Linked DNA regions of Neurospora crassa OR74A. Each later gene encodes a partner of the first gene's protein in a complex. Links are inferred from orthologs where the notes say so. Each region holds a gene or a part of one and is shown on either strand. Other genes may lie near its edges. The genes, in order: NCU01440 and NCU06617.

Evidence for each region.
Region 2: the proteins of NCU01440 (region 1) and NCU06617 are in contact, whole or in part, in a crystal structure (PDB 1N2D), measured with the Saccharomyces cerevisiae proteins. The link is inferred for Neurospora crassa OR74A from reciprocal best matches to the Saccharomyces cerevisiae genes MYO2 and MLC1. Residues at the interface, in NP_014971.1 of Saccharomyces cerevisiae: Ile807, Ala810, Ile811, Lys812, Tyr813, Leu814, Gln815, Asn816, Asn817, Ile818, Lys819, Gly820, Phe821, Ile822, Ile823, Arg824, Gln825, Arg826, Val827, Asp829, Glu830, Met831, Asn834; in NP_011409.1 of Saccharomyces cerevisiae: Leu13, Phe14, Lys16, Asp29, Arg32, Ala33, Gly35, Tyr36, Asn37, Thr39, Asn40, Ala77, Thr78, Lys80, Ala81, Asp85, Phe86, Lys88, Ala89, Phe90, Val92, Met109, Leu110, Leu113, Gly114, Glu115, Lys116, Leu117, Glu121, Glu124.

The regions. Positions count from the first base shown.
Region 1 is NC_026505.1:4,738,377-4,742,665, reverse strand, and holds the start of NCU01440 (myosin-2), read left to right. Parts: upstream 1-1,360; 5' UTR 1,361-2,316; coding exon 2,317-2,451; intron 2,452-2,563; coding exon 2,564-2,696; intron 2,697-2,783; coding exon 2,784-2,973; intron 2,974-3,034; coding exon 3,035-4,289. UniProt on the Saccharomyces cerevisiae protein: Myosin heavy chain that is required for the cell cycle-regulated transport of various organelles and proteins for their segregation.
Region 2 is NC_026504.1:1,814,707-1,818,370, reverse strand, and holds NCU06617 (myosin regulatory light chain cdc4), read right to left. Parts: upstream 2,146-3,664; 5' UTR 2,015-2,145; coding exon 2,012-2,014; intron 1,471-2,011; coding exon 1,317-1,470; intron 1,243-1,316; coding exon 1,009-1,242; intron 922-1,008; coding exon 893-921; 3' UTR 648-892; downstream 1-647. Other genes in the region: NCU06616 (S-adenosylmethionine-dependent methyltransferase), read right to left, coding at 2,509-3,448, 3,536-3,549. UniProt on the Saccharomyces cerevisiae protein: Essential light chain for the class II conventional myosin MYO1. Also acts as light chain for the class V unconventional myosin MYO2 and for IQG1.

The DNA.
Region 1 (4,289 bases):
GTGGATGACGTCCGAGTGAGGGACGGTGTTGACTCTGAATTGTAACAGTAGTCACTCGTCGTCAATCCGGCCACGGAGCAGACAAAAGGCGGCGACGACGCGGAGTCGGCGGCAAACCACCAAAAGCACCGCCTTTCTCCCCCCCCCCCCCCCCCCCCCTCCCCTTTTTTTTTCCTCCCAAGTCCCAGGCCCCGATACTCGGGCTGCCGGCCGCACGGGGGGCCTGGTGGGGCCCGTAAGTAGGTAGTCTCCAACAGTTTCCACAGTCTTTGACGACCCGCCATTCGCTGGCGCTCTTTTTACCCCTGCAGATTCCAGAAAGAAGAGAAGAAGGAACTGAACGCAAATGCAATTGATTGTCATGGTGCCAGACTCAGCCCGGTCCACCCATCAATGCCATAGAGGTATTGGTACGTATTTACACTATGCCCCATTTTGAGTTTGCCCATCTCTCTCCTTTTCAGGCGGACAGGTTAATGCATTTCAACTGTCAACAAGCGGGCAGACGGGCCAGACGGGGACCCAGTTGGATGGCATATCGAACGAACAAATGAACGAACGAACGGACCAGTGCAAACAATTGGCCATGGGAGTCTGGTAAGATTGGGCCTTACTTCCGTGAGTTCCTTCAGGGAGTTGTGTAAACGAAATGCTACCCTGATGAGGGGCGCCGGTGAGCTGTCGGGGAGAAATACAGAAACTCAGGGGAAGACCAAAGACCGTACATAATGAGAACGATGAAGCCATACAAATCAAGAGGGCTATAGATCAGGAGGAGAAACATGGTCGTCCTCATAGGATATCCTGACGGTTATTCACCCATTGGCGTGAGCCTCCAGAGACACATTTGTACATCTCAAGGTAGAGTGTAGACTTGGACATCGTGACCCATCTTGTACATCATGTCGTCTTCCACTGGACACCTCTCCGGACAAGACAAAGGTAACCCTTATACGCTGCTTAGAGGTGCCAGTCACCCATTGTTCTTCTTCGCCTTGTCTGTGTACTATGTAGCTTTCCACTTATGTAGAGTCGCGGGATTCCCAAGCATACCTCTAGGTATGTAATCTTCTTCGCAGTGTTGGTTAGTGCCCCCTTTTAAGGAGAGCCCTGCTTGTCCAGGTCATTTGGGAATTACGGCTCATTGGAGGGGCTCCATGGAGTCCAGCTCCCCAAGCCCACGAAAGAGTCCGTGCTTCGGTGTTAATGCAACGAGCCCAGCGACGCACCCAATTGGGCGGTGGCCGCCAAAGACCGACCACCTCAACATCCACAACAACGGGGCCCCTGTCAACGGAAGTGAACGTCGGCCGGGCTGTTAGCCTGCCACCACGACGGCCCGCCAGTGCTCTATCATCACCGGGCACCTCAGCTACACTACAAGCGGAAGCCTACCCCTAAACTTTCAACGACATCCCGTCTCGTCGTCCCGCCTTCTCGCCTACCCCGACTTTTGACTTGGTTGTTGACCACACCGGCCCGACAGGCTACTACATCAAGGACGTTCCCTCATCCACAGGTGCTATCTCGACCATCAGCCACTTCTATACAGAGAGGCTGCCACCGTTAAGAGAACCCGACTCGACCGCTCGACGAATCCGTTCTCCCACCGCAAGGCAGTGTGTTGGGTCCCCGCTCCGCCCGTTCTGCCCGCCCCGTTTATACGGCATTCCACAACCTTCCTGTCCTACACACAGTGACAGGACCTGACCTATTCCCGGTCAGCCAAACACCTACCAGCTAGCTCCCTTGGGCACGCAAAGCAAACAACAAAAGCAACAACAACATCTTTCAGCTGTTTCGTCCAAGAACAGCCCGCGCTACACTCCCATCGGTCCGACGACACGAGCCGAACCCCCTTTCGAACTCCTAGACCTACATCGTCTTCGACCACCTTGTTTGTCGGCTTGGGCTCCGTTGCCCGCACGATAGCAACATCTTTCTATACTTCTTTAATGTGTTGCTCCACGTCCAATCCCTATTTTTGTATCTAATTTCCCCCTCTTCCATTCCCTTCGTGAATGTTGTCTTCGCCAGCACCACACTCCCGCCGGCCCTTGGATTCCAAGCTTCCGCGACCGAACTAGCATCCTGGACCGCTCTTCATTCCGGTCGTTGCGTCCGCCATAACAGACACGGTCCACCATTATCCCTATCCACCCCCGTCGCCCCTAGCCGTGCTGGCCGTTCCGCCGCTAGAACTGGCTTCTTGAAGCCATCCAAATCCCACCACAACATCTCTTCCCCCTTGCTCCTGACTCGCAGGTTCGCGCCGATTTTCTCTCCCTCGAGAATACACCGATACAAGCGCATCCAATGTCGGAGAGCTATGATGTTGGCACTCGAGCCTGGCAGCCCGATCCTACCGAGGGTTGGGTTGCCTCTGAAGTAGTCAAGAAGACAGTAGACGGCAACAAGGTCACTCTTATCTTCGAGTGCGAGAATGGCGAGGTAGGTAGCTTATGCTTTCCCAAGTCTCGGCATATTCCGACTTTTGTGCTTTGGTTTACGTGCTTTGCGGGCTGGTGCGCTTCAAGATGCTAACATGTGTTACTGCCTGCAGACTAAGACCGTGGAGGTCTCCCTCGAGGCCCTCCAGTCAGGCGGCCATGAGTCGCTACCGCCCTTGATGAACCCAACAATGCTCGAAGCCAGTGATGACTTGACGAACCTATCACATCTGAACGAGCCTGCTGGTAAATATACACACACCTTTGCGCTGACTCGCCCCGCCATCGGGCGCACTCCGAGAACGTGATGCTGATAGCATGTGCTGTGCTTAGTGCTTCAGGCTATCCGCCTTCGATATGCCCAGAAGGAAATCTACACATACTCGGGTATTGTTCTAATAGCTACAAACCCGTTCGCGCGGGTTGACTCTCTTTATGTCCCAGGCATGGTTCAAGTCTATGCCGGGAAGCAAAGAGCAACCCAAGCTCCCCATCTTTTCGCCATTGCTGAGGAAGCGTTCATGTATGGGCTCTTTGCCAATTTGACGATTCATGTTGACTTGTAATCGCTGACATAACAATAGGGACATGTTGCGCGATGGCAAGAACCAGACCATTGTCGTGTCTGGTGAGTCCGGTGCCGGTAAGACTGTCAGTGCCAAGTACATTATGAGATACTTCGCGACAAGAGAATCGCCCGACAGCCCCGGATCACGAGTAAAGAAGGGTGGCCACGAGTCTATGAGCCAGACCGAGGAGGCTATCTTGGCTACGAACCCGATTATGGAAGCTTTTGGTAACGCAAAGACGACAAGAAACGACAACTCCTCGCGATTCGGTAAATACATCGAAATCATGTTTGACAAGGCCACCAACATTATCGGTGCCAAGATCAGGACCTACCTTCTCGAGCGATCGAGGTTGGTTTTCCAACCGTTGAAGGAAAGAAACTACCATATTTTCTACCAGCTGGTTGCTGGTGTGACGGACAAGGAGCGCCAGGAATTGGGCTTGCTTCCCGTTGAACAGTTCGAGTACCTCAACCAGGGTAACACCCCCACGATCGATGGCGTCGATGACAAGGCCGAGTTCAATGCGACCAAGGCATCTTTGAAGACCATCGGTGTTGACGAGGGCAAGCAAACGGAGATCTTCAAGCTTCTGGCTGGTCTCCTCCACTTGGGTAATGTCAAGATTGGTGCCATGCGAAACGACAGTTCCCTCGATCCTTCCGAACCATCGCTGGTTAAGGCCTGCGAGATTCTCGGCATCGATGCTCCAGAATTTGCCAAGTGGATCGTCAAGAAGCAATTGGTCACTCGTGGTGAAAAGATCGTGTCCAACTTGACCCAGGCGCAGGCTATCGTTGTCCGAGATTCCGTTGCCAAGTACATCTACTCGAGTCTGTTCGACTGGCTCGTCGAAATCATCAATCACAGTCTTGCTTCGGAGGAGGTCCTCACCAGAGTCACTTCCTTCATTGGTGTTCTGGATATTTACGGCTTCGAGCATTTCGCCAAGAACTCCTTCGAGCAGTTCTGTATCAACTACGCCAACGAGAAGCTTCAGCAGGAGTTCAACCAGCATGTGTTCAAGTTGGAGCAGGAGGAATACCTTAGGGAGCAGATTGACTGGACCTTCATCGACTTTGCTGACAACCAGCCCTGCATTGACCTTATCGAGGGCAAACTTGGTATCCTGTCCCTTCTAGACGAGGAATCAAGACTACCCATGGGTTCCGACGAGCAGTTCGTTACTAAGCTTCACCACAACTACGCTGCCGACAAGCACAAATTCTACAAGAAGCCCCGTTTCGGCAAGTCATCCTTCACCGTCTGC
Region 2 (3,664 bases), on another chromosome or scaffold:
GGACAGTTCCTTCAGTTCTTCACTACTTAGCCGAGGGAAAAGAAGGCACGGGTGATGGCCGTCAGCGGAGGACAGGGGCTCCATAATTGACAAGACCGATGCAAGCCGCTGGGGAAATGTCCAAGATGTCCGGCTTCCGCGACCGGACATTGTAAGTTACCAGTCTACTGCAGGAACATTACATAGATGCTTTAGATAATGCAGTATTTGAGTACTGGTTACCCCCTCTCTGGTCATCCAACACAGGAATTAACATCTCCAAAGATACCGCCAAGTGATACACCTTGCTTCCACTTCCTGACCGTACCCAGACTGAAGGCCGGAAAAGGGACATCGGAATCCCCACATCCCCTTTGAGCCCGAATTCGAAGGAAGACGGAAACGTGTTTGGCCTTGTTTCCAGTGACTATACAAACTCCAGGGCCTTGTTTTCTCATATTCATCCTTTGTGATGTTTCATGTCATTTGCCTTACCCGAAGCAAACTGACAGGGTCGAGCCCTTTTTCGAGTAGAGCGAAAAGGGATTCATGACGAATATTGTACTGCTGAGTACTGGGCAAACAACGTATACTTGGAAACACGCCTCCGTCACGCAAGAGAAGGGGACGGAAGAAAGATCAGGCGTGGAACCCAATCTAGCGTAGTTGGTTAAGACACACGTCCGGAAAGCCTTTCAGTTCCCGGTAAATGATATGTCCAAATTCATATCTTATCAAGACTCCGACGCCTGCCTGGATTATAACACATGCGATTTCCCTGTAATAGATGGTATATGACGCCTTCTCCGTGGACGGATTTGTCCCGCGATTTCTATTCGACTATGCCCCATGATGTTTGACCTCCAAACCCAGTTTCCCTCGTCATCATTCCGTACCACCTCTACTCAATATTTTAGTTGGCAAGGATGGTCCGGACAAGCTCTGTTTGCGTCGTACACATATTGTTAGTCGAGACTCCTAGGTTTCACGCAAAGGGCAAGCAAACAGCAAGTGCTGAGGCTGACATACCGGTATAGTTCACCTGGCCGGAGCTAGTATCAACGGCCTTGAGGAGCTCGTCTACCTCCTCGTCCGTCATCTTCTCGCCAAGGTTTGTCAAGATGTACTTGAGCTGTCCAACGCCGATGAAACCCGTCATGTCCTTATCAAACACCTGGAAACCGCGGCAGTACTCTTCGGGCTCGCCGGGATCACGGAAGCCACCTGGCCGGTTGAGGACGCGCTGGAAGGTCTCGAAGTCGACTGTCGGATGAGAAGGGCATCTGTTAGTAACTAATCTCAGATGAACTACTTGTTTCCGCTCGGGTATTACTCACAATCACCACCAACGTTCTTCTCGAGCTCGCGGATCTCGGCGAGCGTGGGGTTCTGGCCGCAAGCGCGGAGCAGGTCACCCAAGCTGTCGAGGGCAACACGGCCGTTGCCGCGCTTGTCGAACAGGGAGAACGCCTCCTTGTAGTTGGTAGAAGCCTGACCGTCGAACTGGTTAGATGCCATGATTCCTGAGTTGCGCTGTCGCAATGAAATGTTCTTTCAAGAATGCGGGTATGTAGTAAATCGCGGTAGGTTGAGCGTAAGCAAAAGCGCTGGCTTTGCGATCGTGCTAGAGTCGGCAATCGAGAGGACGAGGGCGATGGTTGCGAGAACAAGGCGCAGAAACCCAAGCGGCAAGGGAGCAGCGATGCGATCGAAAGTTGGCAAAATGAATGGTGTTTTTTTGGTCTGTGATGGATGGATGCCGAAGCAGGACCTGGCAGCTCAACGCTCAAGCCGGGCGCAGGCGCAGGCGCATTTTACAGGTAGTGCTCCGATTCAACGCAGAACGCTGCGGCTTCCAAGGTTGTGGCACCTTGTGCCTTTGTTGTCATGGGCAACCGCGGGGTTCCTGGCTCTTGCTTTCGCATGCTTTCTGTTTCCGTGCGTCGGGGTTGGGACTTGGGATGGAGGGATGGAGAGGGGCGCGCGCGCGTGCCAGTGCCCGCGGCGGATGAACAGGGACAGGTCCACTTACCATTGTGTCTCAGGGGGGGGAATGTCGTTTGAATGCGCAAAAGAGGACGCAAGGGCTAGTCGATGCAAGTACGCTGGCTGATGGATTCGATGCGAAAGATGATGCTATTCAGAAGAACGGTCAAGAAGCGAACCAAGGCTAGATGCAAAAGGAGTGGGCGATCGATTTGGGCTTCCCTTCCCGCCGCGAAATGAGCTGCGGACAGGGAGTTGCGCTGACTGGTCTGTGCCATTACGCAGTACCCGACCTTATGCGCCCGCATCCCGGTCGCGGTGGCAGCCAATGGAGGGCAACCACCCACTGGCACTGGTGACAACTCGCGATACAGCAGCACTGCATGCCCGCTAGCTCAATCGAGAGAGACATCTACTGACAGAGAGCACCTTGGTTACGCAAGGGGGCCGGTGATACTGCCCGGATAGCAGGTTCAACGTCAGCCACCACCACTGTACAGTATCGTCTCTTCACCACACTTAATTGTACACTACCTTTCCAGTTCATCGTCTCTTCGCCATCAACAAAACGGTTCCCCAAATAGCATCAACCTCGATTTCGGCCCATCGATCCCCCGCCGCTTTCCATTCCGGCACCGCAGCAACAACCTCGTCAAACATCAAGTCAACAATGTCGCCCTCTCCTCCGTCCGCCCTGCACTTCATCTGGGGATGGGCGCTTCCCCAACCACTGAAGGCACTGAACGTGCGAATATAGCTCGCCAACTCGCCCAACTTGAGCCTCCGACGCAACCAAGTGGCCTCTTCCGGAGCATCGCTAATGTCGCCCGTCTCACGATTGGGATCCCAAGCAATACGGACCACATGTTCCCATTCCCTCTCGGGAGGGACCACCTCCCGCAGTGAATCCCGTAATATGTTCCGGCCGGGTTGTTCCCAAAAGCACATCATGCTTTCCACGCCCGGCACCGGCTCTGTCTCGCCGTAGATGAACCTGTCAAAGATGGGCGTTGTTTCCGGCCGCCCAACGATGATGTGGTCCTTGTAACCCCAGAAAGCCAGGGTTCCGCCGCGCTTCACGACCCGTGCAAGTGCTGGCCAGACCTTGGAGTAGTCAAACCAATGCGCCGCTTGGCCAGCAACCACACAGTCAACGGCATTGTCGTCAAGGAAAGAAAGGTCCTCGGCTCCGCCTTGCTTGAACGTAATCTTGGAGTTGTCGCCGGTTAGCTTGCGAGCCTGTTCAATCATGCCGGCCGAAGGATCAAGGGCGATAACACGGTTGAAATAGGGAGCGAGTGCGCGCGCCACTAAGCCATGTCCGCAGCCAAGGTCTAGCAGTGTTCCAGCTGCCGGCGAAGACGACGATGGTGATGGGGAGGAAGGGGCCTCTTTGCCGTGAAATCTCAACACCCGGTCGTAAAGAACCGAGGGATATGAGGGCCGAAAGGCAGCATACCCAGCAGAGGAGAACGTCGAGCGGCTATCGTGGAAACATGTCAATGATTACAGTAAGCAATGCGCCAATGCTGTCAGTAGGCAAGTATGTAAACAAGAGGTGGAGACTTACCCGAAGATGGACATTCTCAAAGACCACCCAAACAAACGCACCAAATCACAAACAGTGGATCCAAATTAACTCCGAGTGGTCAGTAAGATAGTCCGTTGTGGAATTCTGTGCCTGATGTTGTGATACCAA